Linked DNA regions of Anolis sagrei. The protein of the gene in region 1 interacts with the protein of each later gene in a pairwise test. Links are inferred from orthologs where the notes say so. Each region holds a gene or a part of one and is shown on either strand. Other genes may lie near its edges.

Region 1 (7,506 bases):
AAGTGCAGCCTCAACACATTTCGCCAGGACTCAAAAGGCCTGCACTCAGCACAAGCACCGCCAATTCTTCGCTCACAACAGAGCTGACAGAGAGTGCATGATTCAACACAGGCCCCATTCTCAACATTCCTGGTTCACAGAGCAGTGCCATCAAACGAGTGTAAACATGGTGACGTCATCCATTCCAGCAGTAAAGACAGCCCATCACCGGAGGCCCAGCTGTAAGGGATAAAGAGGGCGGCAGGACGGGAGCAAGGGGGGACCAGGAGCTGGATGACAGCCCACAGTGGGAGGCTTCCCAACAGGTGTAGGACAAAAAGTCTCCCTAACATAACCCTGTATTTCTTTAAAAGCACATAGCCACTGACATCCATTTAAAGGAAGGTATCAAACTGAGCTTCCAAATTATCCTTCAGAAATATAGTGATCCCTTTGTCAAGAGTTCTAACCTGGGAAAGGAATATGAACTCAATGATATCCAGTAAGACTTTCAGAGCTGTATGGTCACCAGAAAATCTTATCCCCTCCAAGAAGACATGACTCCCCTGTACAGTGTATTTATATACTAAGTGCTTCACCATTGCTTTTGCTGTGAGCGTGCCTCTTAGTCAGCAGAACTGGTGGGATGGGGACCTAAATTAGTTGTTCCTACATGACCTTAGACTGAGATGCCAGCCTCATTACTTAACATCACTAAGCTAAGCATACAATCAAAATGAAATAGAACTTCATTCATTTCCCTGTTTCTTTGAATTCTTGCTTCAAGCCCTGACACATCAATTTTGTTTCCCATTTGTCATAAACACCTTATGGCAACACGAGATGTGGAGCCAACCTTAAGAAATTGGGCTACAAAGTAGAGTCCATGACATGCAAGTGGGGAGAAGAGCAAACCACAGACCACTTACTACAGTGCAGCCTGAGCCCTGCCACATGCACAATGGAGGACCTTCTTACAGCCACACCAGAGGCACTCCAAGTGGCCAGCTTCTGGTCAAAGGAAATCTAGCATAATGCCAAGCTTTTAACTTTGTTTGTGGCATTTTATACATTATAAATGTATTCTCAATTTGCTTCTGACACAATAAATAAAATATATAAATACCTCACGTTATTTCACTTATCTAAACAGAGGGAAAACTGTCCACATTGCAGTATTTTAGATACAAAAATTGGAAGACTTTTGCACATCACCCCTTCAAGACCGGCAGTATGATCTCTATACCACACAATCCCAACATGCAGTAAAGGGTACAACACTACCCAATGCTTCCTCCAAGAAATGCAATGTTGTAGGTAGGTTGTTTTGTTTTTAAATCAAGTCTGCCTCCTAACTATCTTGACTCAATTTATCCCTGTTTATGATGCCCCCTATAATATTTTTTAAAAATCAATTTTCAAGACAGGAATAGATATGCAAATGACACAGATCTGTTATAGGAATACCAAGTTTCACCTACTCTGCAGTCTAAATCAGGCAACTTTCCAGAGCCCTCCTAACTTACTGTTTTAAATCCATAGGTTGGGACAGGCATGGACAAACTTCGGCCTTCCAGATGTGTTGGACTTCAACTCCCACAATTCATGACAGCCGGTAAGTTGGCTGGGATTTCTGGGAGTTGAAGTCCAAAACACCTGGAGAGCCGAAGTTTGCCCATGCCTGGGTCAGAAGCATATTAAACCAAGATGGCTAGCTGCTTTTACCAGAAAACATCCCATGCAAACACATCTGGAGCACAAGATAGACACTGACCATTCTGTCCACCCACCAACTGGCAGAGGACAGGCTGCCCTCCGGAGTCGTGGCTGCAGGTGACGATGACAGGCTCCAGCCAGGTTTGCTATGGGAAATGTCCCACTAGGGATGCAGGTCCCTTCCACACAGCTGAATAAAATTCCACATTATCTGCTTTGAGCTGGAATATATGGCAGGATGGACTTGGATGACCCAATTCAGAGCAGATATTGGGATTTTCTACCTTGCTATTCTGGGTTACTTGGCTGTGTGGAAGGTCCCTCAGATAAACCCGTTCCAAGCAGATATTGGGGGGTGTCTGCCTTGATACTCTGTGTTATATGGCTCTGTGGAAGGTCCCTCAGTAGAGGACAACATGCACTTGTTGCACAGATGTGCTCCATCCTACAAATCTCTAGATGAAAGCCCTCCCTGCCATTTCAGTGTGACACAATACCAACCTCTTTCACAGGGCCCTTGTCTAACAGCAGAGACAGAAGTAGTCCTTCCCATAAAGCTGTCCTTTTTCTTCAGGACCAAAGCCAATAAAAACAGAAGAACCATGGAGACGAGGTGCTTAGGGCAACATGTAAACTGCCTGGCCCAAAATGGCCCGTAAAACTGTCCAGGTGAAAGTATATAAAACAATAATGTCTGCTACAGATGGCAGCACAGAATGACTATGTTAGCGACAGCATTTGACAACATCAACAGAATGATACAAGACAGGAGTAACTACCGTACGGACAGAGACATAAAAAGGCATGATTCCCACTCCTTGGGAAAGGCTCAGAGTCTCTGTTCCCAGTAAAAAAGACAGCGGAGGATAGGCTGCTGTCAAAAACAACCCAATGTGTGCCTGACCCACCTTAAGCACCCACAAGTTTTCAGAAAAGGATCTCTTGCCAAAAGTTCTGCCAAATACCCCTTCTCCGCTTGGTCATCGTCATGGGCACCCTTCTGTCCTGCCAGGCTGCGCTTCTCCCAACACACTCAATGCAGCCAAAGCAAAGGGGGGGGAAAGGGAATCTCAGGTGCTCCCCTTTTCCCACCCAAACTTGGCACTCTTCTCTGCCAGGAGATGAATCAGCAGGTCAGGTCTCTTCTGCAGCTGACCTATGGCAGCCCCCTCCCCCAAACTACAGCCAGACCCCCTTCCTTTTTGTGTATGTGTATATGCAGCATTTACCTAGTGGTGACCTCATGTTGATGAGTCAGCAATGTCACCCAGCAAGGCTCAAAGGCGGGAGGTGGTGCAAGGGGGTGAGAGAGCCCCCTCCCCTTGATCCTCATGCCCTCCCCTCAAATCCTCACTCACAGGCACAGGCTGCTCCCCCTGCCTCCCCCCCCCCCCACAGACACCTGATGAGTCAGCACCACAAGCCCTTCCACTCTGCCAGACATGGCTGCACAAGGGAGAGGGAGAGGGAGAGAGGGAGAAGGAGGAGACGGCCAGCCTGCAGGCAGCCTCTCCCCTCCTCTGCCCCAAGGAAAGGAAGGGAAGGAGCGGGCACACACTCTCGAATAATAACAACAACAACGATCACCCAAGGACTGGCTGGGGAAGGGGAGGGTCAACTACTTTTTCCTCCCCGCCGCAACTCAACAACAAAAGAGATCCGGGAGGAAACGGGGGAGCATTTCTAGCAAGGAGAAGCTGGAGGGGGAGAAAACAAACCAGGGCAGGCTTCTCCCACGCCGCGAGGAAAAGGAAAGAAAGGCAGAGGCAGAGGGAGGGGGAGACAAGGGAAGCCCACCCACCTGTCAGAGACAAGGCGAGGCGCAGCAGCAGCAGCAGCAGGAGCAGGAGGAGGAAGGAGAGGCCGCCTCCCGCTCACCTGGGCCCACACCTGGAAACCCGCGGGAAAGGGAAAGGAAAAGGTGGGGGGGGGGGGATGCAAGGGTGGCCTTCCCGGAAGCACACGGACCCAGGAGGGAAACTCCACGCAAGACTACATGGCGAAGGAGGGAAGGAGCCCCCTCCCCAGCACGCGCGCACAGGGCACACACCGCGCGCGCGGCCTCTCCTGCCCCGCTGCCTCTTTCTTCCTCCACGCACACACACACACACACACACGCAGGCAGGCAGGCAGGCTCCCTCCGTCTTTCCCTTCAAAGGCCGGGAGGAGGGGAGGGGGCCCCGGCCTCTCTCTCTCCCTCGCTCACCCTCCGCTCGCTCGCTCGGTGCCGCCGGGGAAGGGGAGGGCCGGGCCGGGGCGGGGACGGGGAGGCCGCCACGCCGCTCAGAGGGACCGAGAGTCCGGGGCCCGCCGCCGCCACCGCTGCTCACGGACGCGTCACGTGATGTTTGGGTCACGTGCCTCCATTCATGAAGCCAGTCGGTGCAGCCGCCCAGGGGAGGGATGGATAGAGGTAGGGATGGATGGATGTAAAGACTCGCTCCGGGAATCATAGAGTTGGGCAAGCGCCGCGTGCAGGGGCCGCCCAGCCCCAACCCCAGTCGCCCTCGCAGGGACAGCACAGTCAAAGCAGCCCCGACAGGTGGCCAGCCAGCCTCCCCACACCATTCACAGTGGTCCTGGCATATGATGTTTTTCAAGTTTCATAGAATCATAGAGTTGGAAGAGACCTCGTGGGCCATCCAGTCCAATCCCCAATTGCATTCAAAGCACCCCCGACAGATAGCCACCCAGCCTCTATTTAAAAAACCTCCAAGGATGAAGCCTCCACCACACTCCGGGGCACAGAGTTCCACTGCTGAACAGCTCTTACGCTCAGGAAGTTCTTCCTAATGTTCAGGTGGGATCTTCTCTCCTGTCATATAAACCAGTTGCTCCACATACTGGTTTCCAGGGCAGCAGAAAACAAGCCTGCTCCCTCTTCCTTGTAATAATAATATTTATTATTATTATTATTATTATTATTATTATCCCCAGGATACCACTCTTGGAGGACCATCATCCTCGGACTACGAGGGATCACCTAAGTAAAGTAAAAGTATTATTATTATTACCTACTCCCTCTTTCTTGTATTATTATTATTATTATTATTATTAGAGGATTAAAAGATAAAACTGCAAAGACTCTGGCACAAGCCAGTAAAGGTGGTCTCAGTGGTGATCAGTACACTGGGTGCAGTGCCTAAAGACCTTGGCCTGCATTAAAAAACAATCTGCGCTGACAAAATTACCTTCTGTCAGCTGCAAAAGGCCACCCTACTCAGATTGGCATGCATTATTCGCCGTTACATCACACAGTCCTAGACATTTGGGAAGTGTCTGGCATGTGATCAAATATAAAGGCCAGCATAGTGAACTTGTTTGCTGTGTACTTATCTTGTTATGTATCAAATAATAATATTTTTATTCTTATATCCTGCCACCATCTCCCCGAAGGGACTCAGGGCAGCTTACATGGGGACCAAGCCCAGCATAGACAAAGATTACAAGGTAACACAATTAAAAACATTTAACAATAACCAGAACAATAAAACATTATAAAAATGACAACCTTTTACATATTTATACATGGCCATTGTGTCTCCTCTCAATCTTCTCTTCTGCAGGCTAAACATACCCAGTTCTTTAAGGATTCATGGTCTCTAGGCCTTTAGTTTTAGTCGCCCTCCTCTGGACACCTTCCAGCTTCTCTTTTGAACTGTGGTGTCCAGCATTGGACAGAGTCTTCCAGATGAGGTCTGACTAAAGCTGAATACAAAGGCACAGTGACTTCCCTCAGTCTAGACACTAAACTCCTGTTGATGCAGCCCAGAATCCCATTGGCTTTTTAAGATGCTGATTACACTGTTGGCTCATGTCCAACTTGTTGTCTATGAAGACTCCAAGATCTTTCTCACATTTTGTATTGTTGCATTTCATTTTTTTCTGCCCAAGTGTAGTATCTTACATTTGTCCTTGTTGAAATTCATTTTGTTAGTTTTGACCCTTCTCTCTAATCTGTTAAAGTCATTTTGAATTCTGATCGTGTCCTCTGGAGTATTAGCTATCCCTCCTAATTTGTTGTCATCTGCAAACTTGATAAGCACGCCCTCTAAACCTTCATCCAAGTCATTAATGACTATATTGAACAGTACTGGGCCCAGGACCGTACCCTACGGCACTCCACTAGTCACTTCTTTCCAGGATGAAGAGGAACCATTGGGGAGCACTCTTTGGGTTCACTCACTTAACCAATTACAAATCCACCTAGTAGTAGTATTGCCTAGCCCACATTTGATTTGTTTGCTTGTATGAAGTTCATAGCAGAATTTGACGAAGGCCTTACTGAAATCAAGATATAATACATCCACAGCATTCCCAGTATCTACCAAGATTGTAACTCTATTGAAAAACGAGATAAGATTAGTCTGACATGACTGGTTTTTGAGAAATCCATGTTGTTGTTTTTATTAATTACAGCATTCCTTTCTAAGTGATTGTAGGCTTCTTCCTTAATAATCTGCTCCAGACTCTTTCCTGGTATTGATGTCAGGCTGACTGGACGGTAATTGTTTAAATCCTCTTTTTGTCCCTTCTTGAAGATAGGGACAATATTTGCCCTCCTCCAGTCTGCATTTCTCCAGTTCTCCAAGAATTCTCAAAGATTATTGCCCGTGGTTCTGAAATGACTTCTGCTAGTTCTTACAATACCCTTGGACATAGTTCATCTGTCCCCGGAGACTTGAATTCATTTAGAGTAGCCAGGTATTCCTAAACTACTTGCTTACCTATTTTGGGTTGCATTTCCCCTATTACCTCTTCAGCTTCGTACTGGTCAGGTTGAACACCAGTCTCCTTTTGGGAGAAGGCTGAGGCAAAAGGGGTGTTTGGCCATATAAAACTATAACTAAAGGCCATATAAAACTATAACTCCCAGGACTTCATATAATTGAGCCATGGCAGTTAAAGTGGGGTTAAAATCACATTAATTTGATGCATCAATTAGCATTTATATTGTAGAATTAATGCAGTTTGGGCTCCTAGCCTGAGCTCTGGCAGTAGGTTATGGATTAGGCAGACCCCTTGCTGCTACTTGGCTGCTTAAGCCCTTTGGCGACAAAATGGAAACTGCATTGGCTTTGAAGCATTTGGACATGTACACACAAATACCCCAAAATATAAGGCTCAACATATAAAGGCCAATTAAGAGTTTGCATTCTTCATTATACACAAAGGTGGACAGGAAAAGTGATTTAAAGATGGGCTCAAAGCCAACCTTAAAATCTCTGGCATAGACACTGAGAACTGGGAAGCCCTGGCCCTTGAGCGCTCCAGCTGGAAGTCAGCTGTGACCAGCAGTGCTGCAGAATTTGAAGAGGCACGAATGGAGGGTGAAAGAGAGAAACGTGCCAAGAGGAAGGTCGTCAAGCCAGCCCCGACCGGGACCGCCTTCCACTTGGAAACCAATGCCTTCACTGCGAGAGAAGATGCAGATCAAGAACAGGGCTCCACAGCCACCTACAGTCTCACAAGAATTCTGATCCTGGAAGACTATCCTACTCGGCCAACGAGGGATTGCCTAAGTAAAAGTAAGTAAGTAGTATGCACAAAGAAACACACTTCTGAAGTGAATGAGAGATTTCCCCACACCTGTACAGTGGACCCCATGGAGACAAAAATCTATGGATGCCCAGGTCCCATTATATAAAATACTGTAGTGTAATAAAACAGGGCTGCTTGTATAAAATGGCAAAATCAAAGTATATGTAACTCGAAGCCATTAATGGCTGAAACTGTGGATGTGCAATCTGTGGTTAGGGAAGGCTGACTGAATAACTTGTTGCCACTAAGAAGTGACTCTGGCATGTGGAT
Region 2 (7,358 bases), on another chromosome or scaffold:
CTGGAGTGGTACCTATTGATCTGCTCACATTTGAACTGCTAGGTTGGCAAAAGCTGGGACTAAAACCGGGAGCTCACCCCACTGTGGATTTGAACCACCGACCTTTCAGTCAGTAAGTTCCACAGCTCATGGGTTTAACCTGCTGCACCACCACGGCCCCTTGCAAGCCCTCTAGTGTGGGTAGATTTGTGTGTGTGTATATGTGTGTATGTGTATATATACATATATCTTTTTTCTCTTGGTGGTATTGAAATGAGCATGAATCTTATAACCGATGGCCTCTTAGAATCGAAGACATTTAGTATTTCTATTACGATTATTATTATTACCCTGGAAGACTATCCTACCTGAACAACGAGGGATCGCCTAAGTAAGTACGATTAGTACACTACTAGCTGCAACAGAAAGAAATATAAAATAATAAAATATTACCTTTACTATTGTTCTGACACTACTTGGTGCCAGATACAATAGATAATAAAACAATAAAATAATAAATCACATTATATTGAGGTAATAATAAAATATACATTAATATAATACAATATAAAAAGAAAATAAATGGTAGCATTTCCTGCCCTGCCCATAAAGTGCCCTTCCATACAGCCATATAACCCAGAATATCAAGGCAGAATATCTGCTTTGAAGTGGGGTATCTGAGGCCCCTTCCACACAGCTGAATAAAATCCCACATGATCTGGTTTGAAATGGGATATATAGCATTGTGGACTCAGATAACCCAGTTCAAAGCAGATACTGTGGGATTTTCTCCCTTGATATTCTGGGTTATATGGCTGTGTGGAAGGGCCCTTAGTCCACACTGCCATATAGTCCAGCTCAATGTGGGATTTTATACAGCGGTCTGGAAGGGGCCATACTTTCCTCTTTCTTTCTCTCTGTCTCTGAACTTGTCTTGAGCTCACCTAAGCCTTTCCTGCCCCTTCCTTCCAAGGGAGGACTCAAGATTCTATGGCCAAACAGAGGGGGAAACTGGACTGAACCAAAGGTACAAAATGGGGGGGGGGTGAAGACAAAAAGAAACAGAGGTGTGAAAAGGTCGGGGGTATTTTTAACCTGCGGTTAATCCTTCCATCTCTGTTTTTAATTCTTCTTCAAATTTCTCCCAAGTGGTTAAATGAGAAGGAGACAACCCAAATCCCAAAGCTATTGCCCACCCCCACACCCCTCCAGTGATAGCCTTACTCTGTCCCTCCTTCTCCAGCTATCCTTGTCCCCTTTTAGTGTGTGCGGTTGGGACGGAAGCTTTAATGCAATTAAAAAGGACCCACTCCACAGAAAGACACACTCACTCACTCTCACACACCCCTTTTTCGCTCCTCCCCCAAATACCAACCAAAGAAATATATATATATTCTCACAACAATCTCAGTCCAAGCAGCCCACCTAGAGACTTCCTCCCACTCCCCTCCTTTGACACACAGGCAAAACATTATCAATAGTAGCAGTAGTGATGATGATGATGATGATAACAACAACAATAATAACAACAACAGTTTCTTTCTGTAGAGATGTTCAATGCATTGTCAAAGGCTTTCATGACTGGAATCACTGGGTTGCTGTAAGTTTTCCAGGCCATGTTCTAGAAGCATTCTCTCCTGACGTTTCACCTGCATCTATGGCAGGCATCCTCAGAGGTTGTGGGTTGTTGGAAACTAGGAAAATGGGGTTTACATATCTGTAGAGTGTCCATGATGGGAGAAAGAACTCTTGTCTGTTGAAGGTAGGTGTGGATGTTGCAATTGGCCACCTTAAAACACTGAAACAATTCGAGCCAGTTATCACCTCCCAACAAAGGATTCCCCCAGACAGAAAGTAGCCAGGCTTTGAAGCTGCAAGGCCATTCAATGCTAATCAAAGTTGCCAATTGCAACATTCACACTTGCCCCAAGCAGACAATCAGGCCCAGTTATCACCTCCCAACAAAGGATTCCCCCAGACAGGAAACAGCCAGGCTTTGAAGCTGCAAGGCCATTCAATGCTATTCAAGGTTGCCAATTGCAACATTCACACTTGCCTCTGACACCCTGGACCTTTCACAAATATTTAAACCCAATTTTCCTAGTTTCCAACAGACCTCACAACGTCTGTGAATGCCTGCCAAAGATGCAGGCGAAACGTCAGGAGAGAATGCTTCTGGAACATGGCCATACAGCCTGAAAAACTCACAGCATCCCAATAATAAGAACGTTCTGAATAGCAATTGTTTCCCCAAACCTTTCTTCCAACTTCCATTCAAAAGTAGGAAAGGAGAAGAGGCTCACCTTTCCTTCCTTCCTTCTTTCCTTCCTTGCAACTTTCCAAAGAGAGGGGAGGGGAAAACGAGGCTCCTGGTGGTGGTTTGTTGTTGCTGAGGTCGGGAAATGAAAAATAAATTTGCATCTGAAGAAGACGCGCGTCACAAATATTTTTAAAAGATTTTTTTTTTAAAAAATGGCCAAAAATAAAAAAAAAATTGCAGAAGCTGTGTCCACGAAGCCAAGACTTAAAAAGAGGTGGAAAAAAGGGACAGTTTGAGAAATATATATATATATTCTCAAATAAGGAGGGCGCGGGGAAAAGGAAGAGGAGATGGAAGCAGCAGCAGAAATAGATAGAAAAAAGAGAGGAAGGGGAGGGAGGGGGGTGATGAAAAGAAGCCACCCGCTGGTTGCTTGCTTGCTACGCGGGGAAAAGGGGCTTGTCTGCTGCACAAGGCAAAGGCTGTTCTTGTTGTTGCTGCTGCTGCTGCTTTGCCTGCCTCGCGCTTCCCTCCTTCCTTCTTTCCTTCCTTCCTTCCTTCCTTCCCGGTCTCCGTGGCTCGCGCTCTCCTCCTCCTCCTCCTCCTCCTCCTTCTCCTTCTCCTTCTTCCCAATGGAACGCCGCCTACTCCCTTCAATCGCTACATTGTTGACATTCGAAGGCTGACATCATCCTCCTCCCGCCGCCGCCGCCACAACCGCGCGCGCGCACACTCACTCTCGCTCACACAAACACAGGCGCGCGCCTGCCTTACGTACGGACGTAGCAGAAGAAGAAGAAGAAGAAGAGGGCAGCCTCTCTCTCTCTCTCCTCTCGCGCGCGTTCTCTCTCTCTCTCTCTCGACGGCGATACTCCCACCCATTCACATTCACAACCACGCTGCGCAAACGGCGTAGCGCCCACGCCTCTCAGAATCGCGGCTCCTCCTACGCTGACGTTGCCGCCGTCACCGCCGCCGAAGGGGGCTTTTCTGACGCATGCGCAGAAGAAGAAGGCGCTCTCTCGCAATTCCACGCTGCCTCCCGCGCTTCTCCTTCTCTCTCTCTCTCTCTCTCTCTCTCTCTCTCCCATCCAACTTCTGCTTCTTATTTCGTTCGCGTGGTATACTGGGGATTGTAGTCTTGTTGCCCTCCCGCCTGGAAAGTTCTAAAGCAGTGGTTCCCAACCTTTTTTTTTACCAGGGACCACTCTCAAACATTAGTACCAAATGGGTTTGTTGTTCATTCGTTCAGTCTCTTCCGACTCTTCCTGACCTCATGGACCAGCCCACGCCAGAGCTCCCTGTCAGCCGTGGCCACCCCCAGCTCCTTCAAGGTCAGTCCAGTCATTTCAAGGATCCCATCCATCCATCTTACCCTTGGTTGGCCCTTCTTTCTTTTCCTTCCATTTTTCCAAGCATCATTGTCTTCTCTAAGCTTTCCTGTCTTCTCATCATGTGGCCAAAGTACTTTTCCTCTACTATCCTTCCCTCCAGTGAACAGTCAGGCTGTATTTCCTGGAGTATGGACTGGTTGGATGTTCTGGCGGTCCAAGGCACTCTCAAAACTTTCCCCCAGCACCACAGTTCAAAAGCATCTCTCTTCCTTCACTCAGCCTTCCCTATGGTCCAGCCCTTACATCCATAGGTGACTATGGGGAATACCATTGCTTTAACTATGCAGATCTTCATTGCCAGTGTGATGTCTCTACTCTTCACTATTTTATCCAGATTGGTCATTGCTCTCCTCCCAACAAGTAAGTTACGAATCAGTTTTTGGTCAATTGTTTGGGGTGCCGATCCAGAAAATTGCATTGGATTGACCACATTAGCTCTAGTTTCTGATACAGAACATATGCCATCCAGTAGTTGCCATCTGCTCACACGCAGAAAAATATATTTAATAATGTACAGCTGATGTGGTAGTAATCTTTTGTGGGTAGTCAGCCTCTCCCCTCCTCACATCCCCATTGCCTTGGCACTATATGAGGGTTTCGTAAGACCAGTTGCTCTTGTTGCCATGTGGTTTTGAGGCAACGGTGTATTAATGGTAAGGCTGCGGACCATATTTTTGTTCTGGCAGCGAATTGTATTGAATAGGCCACATCAGCTCTAGTTTCCGATGCAGGACATATACCATCCAGTAGTCGCCATCTGTTCGCCCACAGAAAACCATATTTAATAAGCCTCAGCACAATAAGAGGGTTTCATGAAACCACTCGCTCTCTTTGCAGCAGTGTAGTAATGGTGAGGCCGTGGATCGCATCAAGTCCTTTAAAGGGAGAGGAGGCATCCCATAACAGCCCCATTGCTATCCACTAAAATATGTTATTTTTTAAAGAAAGGTTTGCAAATTGCAAATTAGGTTTTAAAAAAAATCAGTAGCGACTTGAGAACATAGTGCAAGTCCCTTCTGGTGTGAGAGAATTGACCGTCTACAGAGATGTTGTCCAAGGGATGCCCAAATATGTTACTATCTTGCTGGGAGCTTCTCTCATATCCCCACAAGCTAGAGCTGACAGACAGGAGCTCACCTCATTTCACAGATTCGGACTGGCAACCTTCAGGTCAGCAGTCCAGCCGACACAAGGGTTTAACCCATTACACCACCGTAGCTCAGCGAGGTAATGATAACTAATCAATCACTGATTCAAACCAAATGCCTAGAGGAGAATAATATGAAAAAAGCATGAATCGCACCACGGCAACGAGTGTTTTAGTTTTTACTAAACTTCCTAGTCTAGAATTACTATAACAACAATGTAAAAAATACACTATATGAGCTGTCTGTCCATGGGGATACATTCACAGACTGCATGGCTACATGAAACTCCAGATGACAATGAACTATGTAGCAAAATTTCAAAACTGTTCTGTTCTGATATTGATGTCAAGCCAGGATATTGATGTCAAGCCTTATTCGTTGAGGACTCATAGGACCATTATAGGGACAATCAAACCCATGGGACTCGAGGGTCCCTCTTTGTTTGTCTCAAGACATAGTAATCCATACATAAAACTATAACTCCTTTTGTTCCACTGCTCACTCAGCCCCCTGTCAGCCATTGGACAGCAGGAATCTGCATTGGAAGTGGGGAACACTCTCTAATTGGCTGCCTCTCCACATGGAAGGGAACCCCCCCCCCCCAGCTGTTTGTGACGTCAAGGCTGGCTCCTCCAGTCAGTGCAAAGCCCGCCCCTGCTGGATGGGTGCATGAAAAACAAAAGACTGCACTATATAAAAATGCATGTTTTGTGCTTGCAAAGCAGGTCAGCTTCTTGGAGCGGTTTACCACTGGCTGTCATCCTTTCTGACCGGGTCAAATAACGTACCTCAGTGGCTTCTGCTTCAAGAGGTGAGACTTCTTTGATTGAGAGCTTTGGGTTTTAGCTTTAAGCCTCGCCAGGCACGGACTCGGTTTTTGCATTCCGGATCTCATTATCTGCCTTAAATTGCTCAATAACTGCCCTAAATTGCTCAATAACAGTTTAAAAATGTTATTTCCTATTTAATTGTGTGGTCCTTACTTTGAAAGTAGTCATTATACTCCAGAAACTTCATTTTTGTGGCTGTCACAAACTGTTGAATTGATCGAGACTCAATAAGATATTAATTGAAAAACAACAGCAAAATGTGCTGCAGGATGTCCCACAGAAACAAAGTTTTTGAAGTTTAATAATTATTTCCATGTTTTTATGATAGAACCTATTAGGAAATGACATTTATAACCCAGGGGCAAAAGTAGTGTGATATGGTGTTATTTTTCAATAGGACAAATGATGGAAGTATGGAGAAAAAGATGCATCTTGTATAGACAATCCTAAGTGACTAAGGCCTCTTCTACATTGCCATATAATCCAGACTATCAAAGCAGATAATTCACATTATCTTCTTTGAACCGAATTATATATGTTATGCTGCCAGATAATCCAGTTCAAAGCAGATAATCTGGATTTTACATGGCAGTGTAGAAGGGGCCTCAGTGAAACTATATCAGTTCCACACATACAACTAAAAATCCTGTGCACTGAAATCAATGGGAGCAATGACTGATCCAAAATTGCCGCTAAATTCTTATTCTATAAAGCAAGGAGAGCTTAGAAAGCCTTGCTTACAATTGTTTTATTTGTCAAAAGATTCTAAATCAATTTGGGAATTTTCAAAAAGTCAATGATATGGCAGCATCAACTCAGGGCCCTTCCACACAGCCCTATATCCCAGAATATCAAGGCGGAAAATCCCACAATATCTGCTTTGAACTGGGTTATCTGAGTCCACACTCAGATAATGTGGGATTTTCTACCTTGATATTCTGGGATATAGGGCTGTGAAGAAGGACCCCCAGATAGGCAGAATCCTTTCCTCTTGGGAAAAGAGGCTTTCTACTCAAATGAGACTGTATGGTTTCAAACTGCATAATTTGGCACTGTAGTTGGGACCACCATTTTCGGTGTATGTGTATGTATGGGATCATTTCCTTTACAATCTGCCCTATGAAATAACACAGTGCCTGGCCTCGGCATTCCCTTCCCTCCCTGTCTGGTCATCATTGCAAGGGACACAATTGCAAATGACACATTGACAACAACAGTTATGTCCTGCTGCAGGGGTTAAATTGGCTTAGCCGTGATTTAGGAAACTAATACCACCAATTAAGTAGGTTTGAATCAGTCACTTCTTACCTTGTAAATACAATGTAGCTTTGATAGATAATTTTGAGAAGTAGGGTTGTCTGTTTTTTAATGCCCTGTTGTGAAAGATTTTTGGAAGAAAATACATGTTATTCCCTTTAAACTAAATATGTTTTGAGAATCCCTTATCCAACATACTTGAAGCCAGAAGTATATTGTTAGAGTGCTGGACTAGGACCTAGAAGACCAAGAATTTTACCTCTGCCACAGAAGCACAAATTGCGCGCACACTCAGCCTTAGAAGAAGGAAATGGCAAGTAAACCTCCTCTGAATAAATATGGTTAAGAAAACCCAACATAGGATCTCTGTAAATTGGCTTTGACTTGGAGGCATACAATAACAACAGAACATCAAGCATAGGATCATATCTAAAACATTTATTTGGTTCCAGACTACTGAACTTTTGAAAATTTGGAAGGAACAAAGTTC

The links.
Region 2: the proteins of MAFG (region 1) and BACH2 interact in binary tests that used the Homo sapiens proteins (3 or more experiments, as listed by UniProt). The link is inferred for Anolis sagrei from reciprocal best matches to the Homo sapiens genes MAFG and BACH2.

Annotation. Positions count from the first base shown.
Region 1 is NC_090022.1:113,769,876-113,777,381, forward strand, and holds the start of MAFG (transcription factor MafG), read right to left. Parts: upstream 3,010-7,506; 5' UTR 2,941-3,009; coding exon 2,925-2,940; intron 1-2,924. UniProt on the Homo sapiens protein: Since they lack a putative transactivation domain, the small Mafs behave as transcriptional repressors when they dimerize among themselves.
Region 2 is NC_090021.1:104,356,362-104,363,719, reverse strand, and holds the start of BACH2 (transcription regulator protein BACH2), read right to left. Parts: upstream 3,011-7,358; 5' UTR 2,283-3,010; intron 1-2,282. UniProt on the Homo sapiens protein: Transcriptional regulator that acts as a repressor or activator. Binds to Maf recognition elements (MARE). Plays an important role in coordinating transcription activation and repression by MAFK.